2 linked regions of the Cricetulus griseus genome follow. Each later gene encodes a partner of the first gene's protein in a complex. Links are inferred from orthologs where the notes say so. Each region holds a gene or a part of one and is shown in the gene's direction. Other genes may lie near its edges.

Region 1 (5,731 bases):
AGTGAAGTAAATGCTCTTTTTCTAAAACCGGTATTTTTAAAAGGGGAAATTGCAGTTTTGTTTATTATTTTCTAACCAGGAATAGGCTCAAAATTTTCAGTTTAGTTCAGGATAAACTTGTCTTTCTGTAATCCTTGTGTCCTTCCAAGTGACAGGATTACAGACATGTGCTACCTTGCCTACTTTATTCAGCTCTTAGACCCAAGGCTTTGTGCATGCTAAGGGAGCACTCTGCCTATTGAGCAAATTATCACTAAAGCAGTACCTACCTATTAATTGTGAGGTTATAGAATACGATGGTGGTCTTTGAGATTTGTAGATATTCTTTGCTCTGCAGTCTTCATCCTGTGGATACATTACTGATCTTATTTTGAATCACTTCTTACATTGTTTTACTTTAGCTTTGAATTATTTATTTTTAATATTGGCTCTGGGAAAAATATTGCTGGGTTAAATCTTATAGGATTTAGTTAGTTGGTCTGGGTAGAAGTCCATCAGTTTCCTAAAAACCTAAGTAGAAATTGAATCTTGGTAAAAACAGTGAAATCAGACTGTTGATCAGACATTTACTGAGCATCTGACTGCTGGCAAATTGTATTCATCTTGGGGCAGTAGAGAGCTACAGAACTTCATATTTTACCTGCAGAAATATTTTATAAAATGTTAACATTAAAAACTCAAAGCACTGGGACTGGAGAGATGGCTCAGAGGTTAGAAGCACTGACTGTTCTTGCAGAAGACCTAGGTTCAATTCCCAGCACACACATGGCACCTCACACCTGTCCGTAACTCCAGTTCCAGGGGATCTGACAACCTCACAGACATTACATACAGCCAAAACACCAAAGCACATATCCAAAAATAAATTTAAAAAAACCCAAAAACTTAAATAACAGTCACCTCTAAGGGGTAGAGTGGGGACTTGGTGCTACACCGGTTGGTTAGTAATGGATTGTCATGGTAGTTTGAATGAATGTGGTTGTTGTTCTTAAATTTTTATTCACAGCCTGAAATGATGACTTTAATTTCATGTCTCTTCTCTGACATTTTTCTCTGGAGATGATTTTTGCTTTACTGATCTGATCAGGCTGTAGAATGGAATATTAGCTGTTTCTTTGTTCCTGGGTGTTTAGTATGTATTTCTAGCAGACAAGTTTTAGTTATTTTGTTCAGTTGGCAGCTACTGTGGTTATTATTTGTATGTTAGACCTTGATGGTCTGTATAGTTCCTATTGTTAAAGTACTTAATTCTAGAATAAAAAGTACCTATTTCTAAGATGTTGATTATATATTTGGCCTTACTAGAATGACCTGGATGACCCTGAAAGAGGAATGATTTTTGTTTGCTCTGCCACCCATAAGACCAAGTCCATGTTCTTCTTTTTGGCTCAAACGGAGCAGGGAGATATCTTTAAGATCACTTTAGAGACAGATGAAGATATGGTAAGTAGACCATGGATGGAGGGGGGAAATATGTATCTGTTGTAGTCTATTTTTAATTTGAATATAATTTAAAACTCTTGTCTAAAGTACTTGGCTATATATACATGTAAGATTTACAAAGCTGCTTTGCAACCATCATAACTTTTCCCTGCATTAAGATAGGGAGTAAGTACACCTGATACTTGACAAGTCAAAAAGAGGGCTTTTGCCTTGTCTTCTTGTTTTGTTCTATTTGACTGTGGTCTCATGGAGGCCTGCTTTTTTTTTTTTTTTTTTTTTTTTTTTTTTTTTTTTTTTTTTTTTTTTTAGAGGAAATGGAGTGGGAGTGAATCTGGGGAGAGGAGGGGAGATTGTGGGGGGCTGGGAGAAGTGGAGGGAGGGAGGGGAACCTCACTGGGATGTATGGTTATGAGACAAAAACATACTTTTAATTAAAAGAAAGAAAGAAAAAAGAAATTTAGATACCTTAGAAAATGATTACTTTTACTTTTGGGTTTGAATGTGAAAATGGGTTTTCCTATTCTGGCTAATGAGTATCTGGTCTTGTAAAGCCATAACAATAATTGATGTGAATAGGAGAAAGCTCTTCATGTCTCGGTAGTTGATAAAATGCATGGTATTTTATTGACGTGATCCTTAACAATGGACATTTAGTTACCTAGGTACTGTTTAGTTGGGAATTGCTAAGATTTGTAAAGGTTAGGTAGTCATTTTCAATTTTTCTGTGTCATACAGACTCAGTCTAAATTAACTTTGGCATTGAAACAGAAAGAGCAGTAGACCCAGCAGTCTGAGTTATCATTTGTTCCCTTTTCGTTTAGATACTGAGCATGGTGGGGTTTTGTTTGTTTGCTTGTTTTTGTTTTTTTACTTAGTTCTGCTTGTGGTGCATAACAGCAGGCTTCTGTGGCCAAGCTGCACTTGCCTTTACACTAATCTTTTTCTCCAGGTAACTGAAATCCGCCTGAAGTACTTTGATACTGTACCTGTTGCTGCTGCAATGTGTGTGCTTAAAACAGGCTTCCTTTTTGTGGCATCAGAATTTGGAAATCAGTGAGTAATCCTTTTATTGTCCCAGTTTACCTTGGTTACCATAAATAGTAAAAGTTGGCAGAAGGGAGGTGTGGTTGGTGTGGTTTCAGAGCTAGGGAGGTTTTCACAAAGTAGTAAAGGTTTTTCAGAACAAGTAATTGCTTTCATTTTCTCTTTGTTTACATTTTCCCCAGCCCTTCTTTTCTATTGCATATTCTCTCTCTTATTTAATAAGTGTTTTTTTTAAAGTTATTTAAAATTTTATGTGTATGTCTGCTGAGTATGTATATACACCACATGCATATAGAAACCTGAAGAGGGCATCTGGAACTGGAGTTACAGATGATTGTGAGCCATCAAAATATGGCTGCTGGGGAGGCTGGAGAGATGGCTCAGAGGTTAAGAGCACTGGCTGCTCTTCCAGAGGCCAATTCCCAGCAACCACATGATGGCTCTCAACCATCTATAATGAGATCTGGTGCTCTATTCTGGTATGCAGGCAGAACACTGTATACATAATAAATAAATCTTAAAAAAAAAAAAAAAAGATATGGATGCTGGGAACCGAACTCAGGTTCTCTGTAAGAGCAGCAAATGCTCTTAAACTACTACCTTCCCAAGGCTTCCCTCCAGTCCCATTTTTCTGTTCTTTTTTTGTGTGTGTGCTTTATTTCATGGCTTCAGTCACTGCCTCTGAATGTCTGCAAAAATACCTTTAGCTGAGTGTATGGTGGTACATACCTGGATTCCAGCACTTGGAAGGCCAAGGCAGGAGAATCTCAAGTTTGAGGTCAGCTTGGGCTACATAGTGAGATGATTGTCTCTAGAAAACTAAAAACCAGAGAGATTCCTACAAGAACTTCTTGTGCAGACCTAAACTTGAAGGTCATTAGTACCTACACTGCCTGCCCACATCACCAGTGTGCCATGATCAGGATTTTTTTGTTATTGACTAAAAGAGCCACTTCTAGTAATTTGTAAGTTCTTAATTTATTTTTCCTCTACTACTTTTAGTCAAATGCAGAGTTCTCTTTTTACTTCTTTTTGTGGTTTCAATCTAAATTTAACTCGATTGGGTTTCCTGCAAAATCCAGTCTTCATAGAGTTGTCTCCATGCCACCTCAACAAATTAGAACAATCCTTATTGACATATTTCCTGTATCTCTGTATTAACAGTATTTGGTGAATTTTCACTGCCAAATGGAAGAAATCTCAACTGTAATTGCTATTTAAAACCAATATCCACAACTTCAAATGACATAAATGACAAGGTCTTGCCAGTAGCTGCTAATATGTATGCAGAACACTTACTAATTTAAGCTCAGTTTTCTCATAATTAAAATACAGATACTTTCTAGGAGATTGTACTATTTCTGCCTTGTCTCCAGTAGAAGCATGTGTGAGTATATAGGCCAGACCTTACTGTCAGGTATTTTCCTCAAGGCTCTTTACCTTATTTTCTGAAACAAGGTCTTGGGTTGAACCGGAAGTACACTGATCCATGCTTGTCTCCCGAACTCTGAGATTATAAATGGGTATTACTGCATCCTGATTTTTACATGGGTGTTGGGCATGTGTACTTAGGTCCCCATGCTTGGATGTTAAGCACTCCTCCAACTGAGCTATCCCTAGTCCATACTCTTTCTTCAACATGCCATTTGCCTAAGTACCTTTTTTCATCCCCGTTGAAGTTTTTACAGCTAACTTTGAATCACATCCCATTTCTTAGTATACTGAAATCTGACTATGCTTAATCGTTTATGCATAACCTGTGTCAAAGAAAGTTCTTTGCTTTTTCCCAGCTACTTATATCAAATTGCCCATCTTGGAGATGATGATGAAGAACCTGAATTTTCATCTGCCATGCCACTAGAAGAAGGAGACACATTTTTTTTTCAGCCAAGACCACTCAAAAACCTTGTGCTTGTGGATGAACTAGACAGCCTCTCTCCCATTCTGTTTTGCCAGGTATGACTTTATTCAATCACCTCTACACTGTGCCATCTTGTTATTAAATTGAAATGTGATCATTTAAAGTTTTCCTCAGGTTGAATTGTAGTCTTAACAAACAACTTGTCTGTGGAATCACTGCTGTGAAAAACTGGTAGTTAAAGGAGTTCAGGGCCTAAACCTATCAGTCTATGAGGGGTGTTTGTTTTGAGACTCTGTGTAGCTCAAGTCTAGTTGTGAACACACTATTCTACTGCCTCAGCCTCCTGAGTGCTGGGAGTACAGGGTTAAGCTGCCCTGCCTGACTAATTGTGTAAGATTGAAGTTCAAGACTGTCCTTGGTGCAATTACATATGAGTTGGCTAGCCATATCAAAAGCATATGTGTAGATATATAACTATTAATGGGTCTAATAAATTTTTGAAATAGTACTTAAGGTAATTGGAACACCTGTAAACTTATGTTAAAATTGTTTTTATGAGTGACAAAGTTATAATCAATGTAATTTGACTCTTTTAAGTGGAAGAAAACACTAATTTCAGATGCAGGTTATAACAAAACTTCATTTCACTAAATGTCAAAGTTCCTTTTTGACTTCTGAACAAATTACATAAGTGTTTGGTTTTTCTTGTTTTTTTTTTTTTGTTGTTGTTGTTGTTGGTGGTGTTTTGTTTTCGTTTTTTTTTGTTTTGTTTTGTTTTTCATGACAGGGTTTCTCTGCATTCCTTGCTGTCTTGGAACTCACTGTGTCAACCAGGCTCAGGCTGCTGGCTTCTTCCTGCCTCGGCCTTGTGAGTGCTGGGATTAAGTGTGCCACCGCCACCCAACAGTGTTTTGTGGGGTTTCGTTGTTTGTTTAATGTGGAACACTAGGGCCTTTTCTCTTATCCCAGTCAGTAGCCATTATATAACTTTAAACCAGAGAATAGTTTGTCCTTTCATAGTTGTATTTGAAAGCTTAGTACAATAGACATTTTCCCCTTGTTGTGCAGATAGCTGATCTGGCCAATGAAGATACTCCACAGCTGTATGTCGCCTGTGGTAGAGGACCCCGGTCATCGCTGAGAGTCTTAAGGCATGGACTTGAGGTAAGATGGGAATTTCTTGGTTCTCTTTATGATGTGAAAGGAAGGTCTGCACAGAACATTGTACAGGCTAACTTTGAGGAGGTCAAAGATAAACTACTGTTTTTATGAACAAATATGTACTTTCTCTTGTCCCTGAAGTTTATGGAGTTCAGATTACTTTTCCCTTACTAGTTCATTCCCTATGACATCTTAGCGGAAGTAAATAATATTTTCCATGAC
Region 2 (5,627 bases), on another chromosome or scaffold:
CATAGCCTCGTGTATTATATAACTCCTGATAGAAGGGTTCATGGGGCATTTTAGGGACTGTTTACTTTGACTGAGGACTGGTTATGAACCTAAAGAAGAGACACCAACATTAAACTTTTTAGAGGAAAACAAAAGCAGCATTGTTGAATTACCCTAAAGTATCAGAAAGAACTTATATTTGTAAGGATGGGGTATATTTTTACTCCAGATACTTGAGTAATGTTAGAAGTTACATACCTAAAAATGCTCTCTGGGATCAGGGTAAATATAATAAAGGATAATTTTATAATGTAACTTCAGATGGCTTCAGTGTTCAGTTTGAAGCCTTACTTAAAAATACTTTGCCTGGAAAGTCTGAATATCAAGAAATGAAGAATCAGAACTCCAACATGAAGGGAGATTTCATTTTTGTGCACATTAGCGTAGTCCAGTAGAAATACGCAATGTGAGAAGCTACATGTAAGATTATTATTTCTATGGCCTTAGTAAAAAAACAAGATGGAGCTAGGGAGATTAATTATAATAAGGACTTTCCTAGTAACCATACATGGTCATTCTCCAGCACCTTAGTCAGTGTAACATTTAGGTAAGTAAGCTCCATGTATAGCTTACTGGGTTAAAGAATCTTGGAGAAGGGAAGCATTAGGCTACTGTAGAACAGAGGTGATGTGTTCCCTTCTGACCCTTTACATGCCCTGAAGCATAGAGTTCTCTTCATCATTACTTGGAGTCTTGAATCCTTCCAGACTTATGGGAGGAGAATCCTTCTGAACTGGAGACCAGCAGTGGTACCAGCAATGCTTCAGAGTGTGTGTGTGTGTGTGTGTGTGTGTGTGTGTGTGTGTGTGTGTGTGTGTGTGTGTGTGTGTGTGCTTTTTTAGCACATTCATGTGGGAAAGTAGCAAAAACATTTTCCTGTGTACTTTAAAACAATACACACACACACACACACACACACACACACACACACACACACACACACACACACACACACACGTATAAGTATATAGATTTCCTTTGATACTGTGGACCTTCTCTTTGCCATACTTCTCCATTTCCTCTCTCTCTCAATGTGAATAGACCTGAACAGTAGCAGTAAGTGAAGTCATCTAACTTAATTCTATTTTGACTTTTTCATCTATTACTGTAGTCTGCAGACAAATGTACCTAACTTTAAGCAAAGCACTTTTTCATGTTAATTTGACACAGTAATAAATTTGGTTCTTGAATTAAGAAGGAGGGAACTCCATCTTAATCATGTTTGTTTTTGCAGGATGATCCATTGGTGCTCAATGAGATCAGAGAAGACCTTCGAGTAGAATGTGCCAAGTTTGGACAGATTAAGAAGCTCCTTCTGTTTGATGTAAGTTCATGGCTTGCACCAGTAAGGCCTGACATCTTTCCAAGATGAGGAAGTGACTTAGATTGCCCTGGATTTTAGATTAGTGTTTTTATATCACAGGCCTGCTGTCTGTCAGCAATAGTTCAGTCAGTGAACATGGTTTACAAGGCAAGTCTTGGATTGTTTTGATGTGCCAAGTTTATTTCCCTTCCTTCTGACTCTTAAAAGAGTATGTGATCAGGTGAGAGCAACTAGAATAAAAATGTATGGAATATCAATTTCCTCAAAGTTCTTGCCTTTCTCTGTTATTCACCTGATCATAGTCAAGGAAAAAAAAAACAACTATTGTTTAGTTTTCTCTGTACTTCCAAGACTGATAGAAAGTACTTAACTGACCATTTCTTACAATGTATTGCTGGTATGCTGCAAGGGGCTTTATACATTGTGCTGCTTAACCCTCAGAACCCTTTGAAGTAGGTAGCTACTAGCTGTACAGATAAGGAAGCCACATCTTTTCAAGTAGAAGTAGAAGTACTTGTAGAAGTGCTTGTTCAGTTCCTGACAGGCAGGCTTTAATCTCAAATTCACACTCAAACAATTACATGGCCTTAGCTCTTGGGTAGTATTGTTAACAGAAACATTTGCAAGGGCACTGTACTGGTTCTTGCTAGACAAAATGAAGCTAAAGAAGCAGCTGACCACTGGCTGGAATAAAAGGGAAGAAAGATTTCAGAAGTCTTTTAGTTCAGAGTTTCAGGAGAATACTACTCTTTATCAGTCTTATGAAATGTGTATCTGATTTTTAATCTTGTCATTCAGTCCTCCTTCTTCTTGTCTTTTTAGAGGCACCCAGATGGTGTGGCCTCTGTGTCCTTCAGGGAACCAGAGGAGGCTGATTATTGTATTCAAACTCTTGATGGAAGGTGGTTTGGTGGCCGTCAAATCACTGCTGAAGCCTGGGATGGGACTACAGATTACCAGGTAAATCCTGCAGCTCTCAAGGGCACAGGAACTGTTGCCTTGTCAACTGTAGATCTAGTTTGGAGGTTGCTTTAATCTGTTTTGTATAATACATCTTGTAAATAATGTTTTGCATTAGAGGATAGAGAAATTCTTATCACTTCTCAGCTTGTAAGTCTTTAATTTGGAGGTTTTAACCTCAGAATGATAAGAATAGAAGAGTGCTAACTATTCCTCATCTTTCTTGTTAAAGAGAATGTACAGAGCTCCAATAGTAATGTTTTAGGAAGTGGAACATTTCAACAGTACTGGGATAGTCACATATATTTATATGATTTTATTGCAGGTATATTGTGTGTAAGGTTGTGTAAACAGGTATATAGTTTTGAAGACCAGAGTAAGGACATGCATGGATTGCTTTAGAAAAGTTGCTTTATAGAACGAGGGTACTTGTGTCAATAGTAGAACTTCCCAGAGAAGTTGTTGCTTCTTTTTGCCTAACATTCATCTTAACCGTAGTCTCTGTTTATTCACAGGTAGAGGAGACCTCAAGAGAGAGAGAGGAAAGGCTGAGAGGCTGGGAGTCCTTCCTCAATGCCCCTGAGGCCAACAGAGGCCTCCAGCGGATGGATTCTGTCTCTGCTTCAGAACAGGCAGGGCCTTCCAGAGGAAGGCATTTTTCAGAGCACCTGAGCATGTCTACCACAGGTGCTCAGGAAGCTACAACTGGAATAGCACTTGAAGAGCCTATCGATGAAAAGAAGTTTGAAAAAGCAGAAGATGGGGGAGAATCTGAAGGAGATGCTTCTGAAAAAGATGCTAAAGAAGGTGGGTACGAGGAAGGTTACCCTGAAAGAGAGGGTGAAGAGGGCTCCTCCAAGATAGAGTGTGAAGAGGGCTGCCCCAAGACAGAGTATCAAGAGGGCCACCCCAAGAGAGAGAGTGAAGAGGGCTACCCCAAGAGAGAGAGTGAAGAGGGCCACCCTGAGAGCAAGCTTGAAGAGGGGAATCCTAAAATGGGATCTCAAGAGAATGGCCCTGACAGAGAATCTAAGAAGAAAGGCAAAGATAATTATGAAAAGAATGGCCTGGCAAAAGAGTCTGAAGACAATGAGCTCAGCAGAGAGTCAGAAGGGGAAGAGAGCCTCAAGAAAGAGTCTGAAGATGATGACTCAGAGGAAGAATCCAAGGAAGACTGCCCAGAAAAGCTGTATGAAGATGACTCTGACAAGGAATTAGAAGAAAATGGTGTTAAAAAAGATTTCGACCAGGATACCTCTGACAAGGAGTTCCCTGAAAATGTTGAGAAAGAGTCAGAAGAAAATGACACTGACAAATCAGAAGGTGATGAAGGCTCTGAAAGAGTGTTAGGTGAGGAAGGCTCTGAGAGAGAATTTGAGGAAGACTCAGATGAAAAGGAGGAGGAGGAGGAAGAGGAGGAAGAGGAGGAAGAAGACAGAGAAGAGGAAGAAGTTGTATATGAAAAGGTTTTTGATGATGAGTCTGATGAGAATGAGGATGAAGAAGAAGCAGAAGAAAAGGAGTGTGAAGATGCTGATGACAAAGAGGAAGAAGATGACACAGATGACAAGCTCTTTGATGACTCCGATGAAAAGGAAGATGAAGAAGATAGAGATGTAAAGCAAGATGAAGATACCAATGACAAGCTATTTGAAGATAATTCCAATGAGAAGTTTTTTGATGAAGAAGAAGATGCCAGTGAGAAATTGTTTGATGATTCTGATGAGAGAGGGACTATGGGGAATGTGAAGGAAGATGGGTCTCAGTCCACCGACAGCAGCTTTGCCCTCAGTAGTGATGATGATGATGAAATGTAATCCTTTCCACTTGCTTTTTAGGGAGAGCCCTGCGTCTCTGTTTGCCTGTGCTTCAGGATCAGTAGTAGTGTTACATCAACAAGTGCATAGTGGTAGGATGCCATCAGACTAATGTCTCGAAGGTTTTTGTTCTTACCTATAACAATGAATTTAAATGTGTCTATTGGTTCTTCAGTTAAAACTTCATAGTTTAACGCAAGGAAACTGGATACCTGTCGTTTTGTTGGATTTGTTAAATGCATGCAAAAGAATATTTTTAAAGTATCCTAATTGGAGTTTGTGATATTCAGAAATAAAGATAAATTGATAATATGCAGAAACTGAGATGTGGACTTGAGTTGATATGTGTTTTGAATCAAATATCACTTGATTCCTCCCACAGTCCTTGTTTCCACCTGTGTCACCATTTGGGATAACCTTCCCCATTCTGCAGTACAACATGGTCCTAAAGTCACAAGATAAATGACATTTTAGATCCTTTCCCCAATCCTTGGAAGTTACATGTTATCTTTTTTACTCTTTCTATTAAGACTAAGATGTATAAACTGAATTCAATGTGGTCTATACCTTCAATTATTGAAAATAGAAGGTAATCAGAGGTTGACTATGCTGGTTTAGAAGATGACTAAAGAGATGAGTTCTCTCTCCAGAACAATGTACGCACAAGCATTACACAGCTTCTTATATACAGTTTGGAGAGGCCCATGAATTCCTCTGGAGATTAAGAACTTTCTCCCTAGGAATATACTTTGTGTTTTGTTTTAGAGTCACAGTTCCTAGTATTGTACCATGTCAGATTGCCCCAATACAATTATGAATCATCCTTGATCGAGCTTTCTCAATTCAGTATTGGTGAACTTTCTAACAATGTAGTGTCTAGAAGTTCTGTTGGGAGCAGTGAACTCCATCAATGCTCAAACACCCACTTACTAGAGACAATCTCTAAAGGAAAGGCATGCTTTGCCTTCTATACACATTGGTTGGAATGTGCAGTTCTACAACATAAATTAGGTATACAACTCTGCCAAGAGAGGTCTTGGTGGGAAGTGTGTAATTTTGACTCTAGTGGCAGCAAATACCTGTAATCCCAACCCTTGAGAGGCAGAGTCAGTGGTGCTGCAAATCCAAGGTCATCCTGGTCTCCATAGGTTCAGGCCAGCCTCAGCCTCATAGTGAAACCCTGTCTCAGAAAAGCATAACTTGAAAATCCAGACCCTGCCATTTGATCAGTTGTTTGGGGGGATTAAGAAGGATTAACACTGGTTGGCAAAAACTCCTTACCATTTGTAGATGGGAAATATGGCAATTCCCCATCTTTTTGGACTTGATGGTCAGCATTGCCAACCCTAGCAGCTTACCATCTGTACCTGTGTGCCTGTGTTTGACACGCATACGCGTGTCTGTGTTTCAATTAGGGTATGCTGTCCCCATAACCTGGCCAATTTTTCCAAGTTCTTACTTTTTTTTATTTTAGAGGCACTCATATT

The links. The genes of interacting proteins can lie anywhere in the genome.
Region 2: Sf3b3 (region 1) and Htatsf1 share a complex: the UniProt entries of both Homo sapiens proteins name them as parts of the 17S U2 SnRNP complex. The link is inferred for Cricetulus griseus from reciprocal best matches to the Homo sapiens genes SF3B3 and HTATSF1.

The regions. Positions count from the first base shown.
Region 1 is NC_048596.1:187,228,531-187,234,261, reverse strand, and holds part of Sf3b3 (splicing factor 3B subunit 3), read left to right. Parts: intron 1-1,003; exon of another isoform or gene 1,004-1,091; intron 1,092-1,305; coding exon 1,306-1,443; intron 1,444-2,392; coding exon 2,393-2,496; intron 2,497-4,277; coding exon 4,278-4,443; intron 4,444-5,416; coding exon 5,417-5,512; intron 5,513-5,731. UniProt on the Homo sapiens protein: Component of the 17S U2 SnRNP complex of the spliceosome, a large ribonucleoprotein complex that removes introns from transcribed pre-mRNAs.
Region 2 is NC_048604.1:15,371,990-15,377,616, reverse strand, and holds the end of Htatsf1 (HIV Tat-specific factor 1), read left to right. Parts: intron 1-1,273; coding exon 1,274-1,363; intron 1,364-2,185; coding exon 2,186-2,323; intron 2,324-2,838; coding exon 2,839-4,140; 3' UTR 4,141-4,464; downstream 4,465-5,627. UniProt on the Homo sapiens protein: Component of the 17S U2 SnRNP complex of the spliceosome, a large ribonucleoprotein complex that removes introns from transcribed pre-mRNAs.